Linked DNA regions of Oryzias latipes. The protein of the gene in region 1 purifies or fractionates together with the protein of each later gene. This does not show direct contact. Links are inferred from orthologs where the notes say so. Each region holds a gene or a part of one and is shown on either strand. Other genes may lie near its edges. The genes, in order: mkrn1 and pabpc4.

Region 1 (4,461 bases):
GACCTTACTAAATGCTAATTTAGCTGAAAAGACTTTAATATTATTTTTACTAACACTAACAAAAATAAATAGATGAATTACTTTGAGGTCAATTGGATGATTTTTGCAAAATGTCAGACAAGAAAGCCAAATGATCAGAATGTGTCATGTGAAGGATGGGCAATAAAATGATAAAACATATTTCGATATAACTTTCTCAATAGAATGAGTCTATCAAAATAGACTCACTATAGATTAAAAGTTAGCGGGTTAATCATCACATGACAAGTTAATGTTTGCATAAACTTAGTCGTTTCAATTTGGTAAATTTCTTGTTTCTCCTTTCCTCCTCTACAGCCTGCACGAGAGTGAAACAAGCACATGAGGTCACTTCACCTGTGTAGCTTTCAGTTTTGAGTGATGAAACAGCGGAATATGCAGTGATTTTTACCAGGATCCAGTCAGAACTGGAGGATAAAAAGCTGCTTCACTTACAGCAGCAACAATCAGATGAATAAAACGTGTTGATATGGAGACCGCGCTGTTATTAGACGCTAATGCTATGATGCTATGCTAACGAGCTGTTCCCTCTGTCACTTAAATGTAAACACTGACGGTTTAAAATCGGACAATATTTTCACAGACCGGCCGTTAAGACGTGACGGATCAATACAACAAAATTAATTCATTGGACATGAATAAAAAACTGCATTTTTATAAATAACACAATTGTGTTTTAGCAGCGTGTTTGTTGCATTACAGTTTTTTGTGTGACCTGTGACCTGTCAGGTGTGAATCCCCCTGCCCCTCTTCCTCGTGACACACCTGCAGCTTTAATGTCAATGATATAATAACAATAATAAAACATTATACTGTTTTCAGGCCGTTTTTGTAATGACTTTATATAAAATACAATGGAAGCAGAACTAGGACATCTCTATTGAATCTGTCCTTGTTTTCTCAGCATTTTTGAATTTGAGTTTACAGTTAGATTTATGAGAAAGTCAAGATATTTACACCAAGCGACGACAATTTGGATTGGATTCATCATTTGCCCTTTAAAGCCAGTTTTTAGACTGTAGGAGAAAAACTAAGAACCTGGAGAACAGGTTGGGTTACACCTGAAGGAGGGGGAATATGCAAACCCTGCACAGAAACAAACCAGCTGGGATTTGAACCCTGAGAGGCAAGAGTGATAACCACTACACCCCTGTGCAGCCCCCAGAACATTTCATGTATTTCTAAAAAAAATAAAAAAATCTAAAACCTTTGTTATTAGATCATCTTTTGATCTATTTTAAAGTGTTCCCAGTGCTCTTTTGTGATTTTTTTTAAAACAAAATTCCCCAAAATCTGTGTCATATTCTAGGACATAGTTTCTGAAGAACAGGAGGAGCTTATTGGAAATTCACCTGCGAGTAGTGGGCACAACTGTAGGTGTGGTAAGCCTGCACTCATTTCCCATGATCCCTTTGTTTACAACTCTCTCCAGCTAGACTACAGCCCCTCACACCCCCAACCTAACATTAGCGGTGCAACAAAAATGGATTTCTCCAAATTTTGATCCAGATTCCAACTCAGATGAGGAAAACAAAGACGTTCATGGATCTATTAGTCTGCAGGTGGATGCATCAGAATGGAGTGGAGCAGGGAGCTTGTGCTGGTTGTAGTTTCTACAAAAAACTACAATCTTTTTCAAACTGCTCTTTTTTTCCTCGTTTGCTCCCATTTCCCAATGATTTGAATAAAGAACTAACCAGAAATGAAACGTTTAGTCATAATTTTCTTTAAATGTGTCCTTTATCATCAGAAAAATGCTACAAAAACATTTCCATTGGAGTGGGTCGTGCTCAGTGTTCAAACTGTGTAAACTTTGAACCAGCTGAAAGTTTCCTTCCAGCTGTATTATTATTAACACTGCTCTATTCATTTTCAATAGAAACCAGTGTTCTATTTTGGAACCAAAAGTAAAGGAACATCAGCAGCAAGATGCTGAAAACAGGAAGAAAAACAATCAGAAGAGGAGTCTCGTTTGAAATGCTGTCGTTCAGCAGAGTCTGGACGACCTGATCATGTGGATCTGGACCGGACCGGACAGACAGACCTGTCGGTTCTCCTGCCCTGACCCGGTGATCGGTGAACGACCTGAACTAAATGTTTTCAGTTTTGACGGAGGAGCAGATCCATATGGAGGAATAATCTGCTGACTTGTCGCACTTTCCCCGCAGCACTTGAGCCGAGCTGCTCCTCTGGAGCTCAAACACACAGGCCGACAACCAGCGGGGCTGACGCCGGGGACGGAATTCGGAGGGGACCCCGCAACAGAGCCAGGAAGCCGGCAGGACGCTTCCGTTCAAATTAAAAGCTAAAACGGGGTTAAGTTTGGTCGTAGTTCGAGGGGCCGGTGTCGTGTGTGTGACCCGGGTTGTCGGTGAGATCCTGACCGCGTCGCTCGCGCAGACGGCGGTGAGTCGCCTCGGAGCTGCGCTAACGCAGAGCAAGTCAGCAACGGAGGAATCTGGTGACGTTAACACAGCTAAGCTAACAGTAACACGGACACAGGCGTCAGCCGGCCGGCCGCGCGCCCCGAAGCCCCGCTTCTCTGTGGCCCAACAACACCCCAGGCCCCCTGGACACTATATCGCGGGGTTACGGTGGCTCACCGGCAGGTTACGTGTTTGGTCCAACCTCCTGTTACCGCCGCCGTAGACGCTGCTGCTGCCTCCGCCATTTCTGTTTATGTTGAGGAGCCCCAGCCGGATGTTCCGGACAGGTCCGCCTCAACTCGGCTATTTCCGTCACACACATTTCAAAACGAACCTTTCCGAGAGTCTGTTTACACGACTGTCGTATGTCCCGGATATCTAACGTTCTCTCTTGTTATTTTATGTATGTACTTTTTTATCTAAAGCGGTTCTTTGTTTTGCTTTTAGAATTTTTTGAATATGATTTTTTTTAAACTCGAGTTCCAAATGTCCAAAAAAAAAACAAAACAAAAAAAAAAACAAAGACATGGAAAAGATTTAGAAGACCTATATCATGCAAAATCAACTTCTTACATTCTTGCACTGATAGCTGTTATTAGCATGGTCTTGCTAATCCTATTTTTTTATCATTATATTTTGCTGTCATGCATGGTATTCAAGTTACAAATTGACCAATCAGATGCCTCAATAAAAGTAGATGGCGTCATGTCAAGCATTTGAAGTGTTTGATTGACAGATTATCCCCAGTTCGGTTTCAGTGGGAGGAGTGTGGCCTTCTAACATGCTCACTCCTGACTCAGGGAGTGGTTGCCATGGAAATGTAGACAAACCAATCACGGCTTACTGAGGACGTAAGGGTTCCAACACGGCAACAGACATGTCACGGAAAAATGTCCATTGAATTGACTTAAACTATTTGGACCCGGAAGCAAAGCAATTTCTTGGGTGATGTCACACGCACTTCGTTCACTTATGTATTATATAATGGTTCTCACACTTTGACGTCACAAAGTGAGGAACAGTCCCTCCAGAAAGAGTCTGTGCTGCCAGCTCCGCCTCCAGGTTAACACACACCCGCTTCCTCTGCAGAGCTAGCAGTGATTGGCGATAAGCGTTCCTTTTGTATGCAAAATATGCAAATCCATCAATGCAAAAGTTTGGATGTTGATCATTTTTGTGGGTGAAATGCAGACCATTTCACATCGAGGCCAGCTCTCGATTGACATCATGAAATAGGCGGCAACCACAAGGAAAGGAGGCAGAGCCTCAGAGATTGTTGCGTTTCACTTCCGGTTAAGAAATTTGCTGCAAAAACAACTAATATTTCATTTTAAAAAAATCCTTCTTTAATGTGCCAAAGGTGATATATGATCATATATATCAGATGTGGCGAACAAGTTTGACACCAAGAGCCAAATTCTTTCACTGTGAGAGTCAAAGAGCCACACCAGGCACTGACCTGCCACGACGTACACACACAAACACACAATTAAAGCCGTATTATTTTCCATAAAACATTCCTCTCCCTACAAAACAACAGCAAGTATTGTACTTGTGTTTATTTCAAGGAAAGTGTCCACCCTCAATACACACATTAAATGCAGCTTAGCCAAAGTTAACACAGCGACTACCCTGGAGGTCAGATACCCCCTCCACACACACTCTCTCTCTCTCTCTCACCCTTTTCTCTCCCTCTCTAACACACACAACTACTCAGTGACGTGCAGTGAGGTTGATGGTTGGCAGATTTACGATGATAAAAACTGAATGTTTCACTGTTCATCCAACAGTTTTTAACTGGTAATTCTTTGTATCTCAACATTCCTCTTTCACTAGCTGCATGATTACATGGACAAAAGTAATCAGAAAGAACGCCTGATCGGAAGAAAAATGCGTCACGTAAACACGCCATTCGGAATAGTCTGCCCCGATCAGACTCGTTCGGATCAAAAAACCTTTCCGATCGAGATAGGTGGGTTATGCCGATTGTTAATCC
Region 2 (3,821 bases), on another chromosome or scaffold:
AACTCTGTCAAGAGTAAAATACCTTAGACAACAAAATAAAAGACAACTAAGCCCAATATATAACATGTTTATTGAGAATACCACACACTCATTAACATGATAGGACTGAGTCCCATCAGTTTAGTCAAATGTGAAGCTTTCAAGCAAAGGCAAACTTCAAGGCTTTCCTATCAGTTTGGTTTTTTTAATGAAAATGACGTCCCTCTTTTGCCACTGAAAGAGAGTTTGTATTCAAGATAAATTTGCATTCTGATCTTGGTATTCAGTTAAAAATTATTATGGAGTTACAAAATGATCCACTTTAAGGATTTTTAAAATATTCAAGTACTTTGCAAAATTGAAAGTATTTTCCTTGGTTTTCATCATGTTTGAAGGATTTTGTAGTGTGTTCCTGTTCACCTCAGCTCGTTTACCTCTGAAAAGACACAATGATTCATTATTACTACAGCAAAATCACAAATGCTTGAAACAGCAAGTATTACTGTTATTTATATACTTGTTAACCAGGTGTTTACGCCATCCGGTCTTCAGGAATTAGCAGAAGCAGCAGCAGTGGCAGTAACCATGCCTGCCACTTTCTGGGTTGCATCTTTTTTGGCTTGGTGAGCTTGCAGCACAGCAACAGCTTCCTCCACCTGATCAAAGACACTGTTTTAGCGTGAGTGCGTATTTTGACATTTTTAGCGCGTGAAAAAAAGCACCTTTGATTGCAGGGATTCGTGGGACTCCAGCATGTGCAGCAGCTCAGAGTTGTCGATCTCCAGCAGCATGCCGGTTATCTTTCCTGCCAGGTTGGCGTGCATTGCCTGGATCAGTGGGAAGAGACGCTCCCCTGTTCAGAAATAGACCACAGTGAATGCCTGAGAACTCAAGAAAGGCAAAAAGTTTACAGAGCTTGCATGTTCAAGCACTTTCAATAAAAAGTCCATGTAAATGCATGTTTCAGGCTTATGCGTTCAAAACTCTCGCGTTCACGTGACACTACCCAAGTTTTTAAGTCAGTTTTCGGGCTCTACGTACAAAATGTGGACCATTGAATGTGCATCGAAAATTAAACCAGTAAAACTTTGACCAATCAGGGACTCGGATGTGGAGTAGCGTCCATTATAATTCACGGAAGTGCCAACAGTTTGAAAATTGATCATGGAGGAGAAATTAATGGTTGCGGTTTGTGTCCGGCGGAAATCATAGGACACCAAGTCTTTCATCTATTGGAATAGAGATGTGAAAGAAAAAGCCTGGATACACAAGATAAGCAGCTGGGTAGCTCGGTTGGTAAGGTGAAAGATTACCACACAGGGTTCGATTCCTGGAGGGGAATGAACAATGGTAATGGGGGAATTACCATATCAACATCCCTTTAAGCCCTTAACGCTACTCCCGAGTGGGATGGGTCAACTGCGGAGAACAATTTCCCCATTGTGGGATAAATAAAGTAACAATTATTATTATGATATGCTTTGGCATTTCGCACCAAGCCTCTTCCAATTGTAGGTACATGCACTAGCACAGGTTAGTCCAGTGTGAACATCATGGGCTAAAAGCGTGTTCAAGAATCCACATCATGTGTCAAATGCCCAGTGTGTACATAGCACAGAACTCACCAAGCATCTGCTTCTGCTCTTGAGGGGGTGCAGCAGCGAGCATAGAGGCTGTAAGTGGCTCTTGGCCCTGAATGTGGACAGCAGGCTGAGCCTTGAAGAAACAAAAACATTGGTTTATAGAGGATAAGTCTGATTGATATTCAATATTTCAGGACAATAATATAAATACCTGCTGTAGGGCAATAGGCTGCACCACCTGGGGATTTGGGTTGCGGACACTGGTGGCGTATTTGTAAGGAGACATAGTTCGGGGACCAGGTACTCCCATTGATGGACGAGGGGCCATGGACTGCCCGGATGCTAGCAGCAAACAGGAAAACTAAGATACAAGTCATAACTCTTTTTTAAATCTAGTCTAATCTATACAAACACACCTCTTGGGCCCTGAGAGCCGCCGCTGGGAGACATGTGCCTCATGTTGCCGCGAGGTCCTGGCTGACGCAGCGAGCTGGGCATGCCCTGGAAACCACCTGAGAGCGATGAAAGCCCAGAAGGAAAACAGATTTCATCATACCAATAAAATGTTTTTTTTCTTTTCTTACAGAAAGATGCAGCATCATGTGCTTCACTTTCACCTTGACCTCTTCCACCTTGTTGCTGCCATCGGGGGTTGGGTCGCATCTGGGCCAGCTGATTGGGTGCATAGTATGTCGTTCTGTTCTGGGCCTTATGGGAAAGAAAGTGGAATACATTAAGGAGCAGCAATAAACTGAACTGTGGGTCAGAGGGACTTTGTATCAACCATTCTCTACACAACATGCTGTGTGAGGAAAGAAGTTAAGGTATGACATTCCTCTCGCGGAGGTGTTTTACAGCCATGTCTCAGTCATTCCACACTTACTGTGCAGTTACTAATATGTTCTCTAGTTTTTCTCATTTATCTGTCTCTTAATTATTTTATTAACTGATTTATTTAAATTTTATTGTTGTAAGCTGTTGGACAGTTAAATTTCACTGCTTGGTGTCAATAAGGTTTTGGTACGTTGGTACCAGTTGGTACAGTGGGTCTAAATCTAAACTTAATTGGATTTATTTTTACCAATGATGAGAAATCTTTTTTTTTAATTTTAAAAATCTGTACAAAAATATTTGCACTATCTTACTTTTTAATTTATATTTTACTTAATTTCTACCACCTGCTCTTGAACAACTGTCCATTTTCACATTTTTATTGAGTCTGTGTTCTGTTTGATTCTGTTATATAAACCTAAATGCATAAAATCTAATAGAAGATCCAAATTGACTGTTATTTCCTGTTATATTTACAGTATTTACAATGTGAAATATGCAAGCTGTTATGCATGCCTCATTTCCAACTTTTTAAAGTGATGTTTAAAAAAACCCATCCCAGTCATCTTTTGATCTATTGTAAAAGTGTTCCCAGTGGTCTTTTGATTATGATTATGCCATTTTTAGCCAGATTAAAAAAAATCTCAGTCGCTTTCTAGGACATAGTTTCTGCAGAACGGCAGTAGTTCATTAGAAATTCACCTCTGAATTGTGGGGGGGACTGTTGGCACATGATACTGTGCAACAAAAATGGCGAGCAATTTCTGAGGTATCCAGATTTGGAATTTTCAGCCAGATGCCAGCTCGAACAAGGAAGACAAAGACGTGCATGGATTTCGTCGTGTACAAGTGCATGTATTGGAATGGAGCAAAGCAGGGAGCTTGTGGCCTGCCGATTGTGGCACTATGTCACAGCTGCATGCTTTTTCACCTGCTCCTAATTCACAACTATTTGAATACAGAAATAGTCAGAAATGCAATTTTAAGCTTAATTCTTTTTTCTATGTATGTCCTCCATCATCAGAAAAATGCTACAAGAATATGTTAAAAACACCAAAAAAAAACATTTTTATTGGAGTGGACTGTCATTCTTACCAAGTTTGAGCTAAAGTGCTAGTCTGCTACTATGAAACCATTTTCATGATAATATTTAACAGGTATTTTGTCAGCTTTGTTTTCTCAGTAGTTGTCTGCATCATGCAACCCCTATTAAAAAAGGTCCTCCACCAAGTTTGATTTTGGTTCTCACACCTGTGGCACAGCTGGCATGAAGTAGCCAGATGTTGGCTGGAATTGATTAATGATGGCATTTGGAGGCATGGCCCTCATGCCAGCTATACGCTGCATGTACTGGTTCGTGAGGTGGGCCTTGCGCTCTTCTTTACGCTGAGCCAGAGCCACATAGAGCGGTTTGGAGCCAACAATACG

The links.
Region 2: the proteins of mkrn1 (region 1) and pabpc4 purify together in Homo sapiens (affinity purification with mass spectrometry; 3 studies listed by BioGRID and IntAct, with this or other methods). This does not show direct contact. The link is inferred for Oryzias latipes from reciprocal best matches to the Homo sapiens genes MKRN1 and PABPC4.

What each region holds. Positions count from the first base shown.
Region 1 is NC_019881.2:11,673,212-11,677,672, forward strand, and holds the start of mkrn1 (E3 ubiquitin-protein ligase makorin-1), read right to left. Parts: upstream 2,895-4,461; 5' UTR 2,711-2,894; coding exon 2,643-2,710; intron 1-2,642. UniProt on the Homo sapiens protein: E3 ubiquitin ligase catalyzing the covalent attachment of ubiquitin moieties onto substrate proteins. These substrates include FILIP1, p53/TP53, CDKN1A and TERT.
Region 2 is NC_019880.2:16,801,600-16,805,420, forward strand, and holds the end of pabpc4 (polyadenylate-binding protein 4), read right to left. Parts: coding exon 3,645-3,821; intron 2,271-3,644; coding exon 2,180-2,270; intron 2,075-2,179; coding exon 1,979-2,074; intron 1,905-1,978; coding exon 1,774-1,904; intron 1,696-1,773; coding exon 1,605-1,695; intron 833-1,604; coding exon 702-832; intron 636-701; coding exon 528-635; 3' UTR 497-527; intron 416-496; 3' UTR 52-415; downstream 1-51.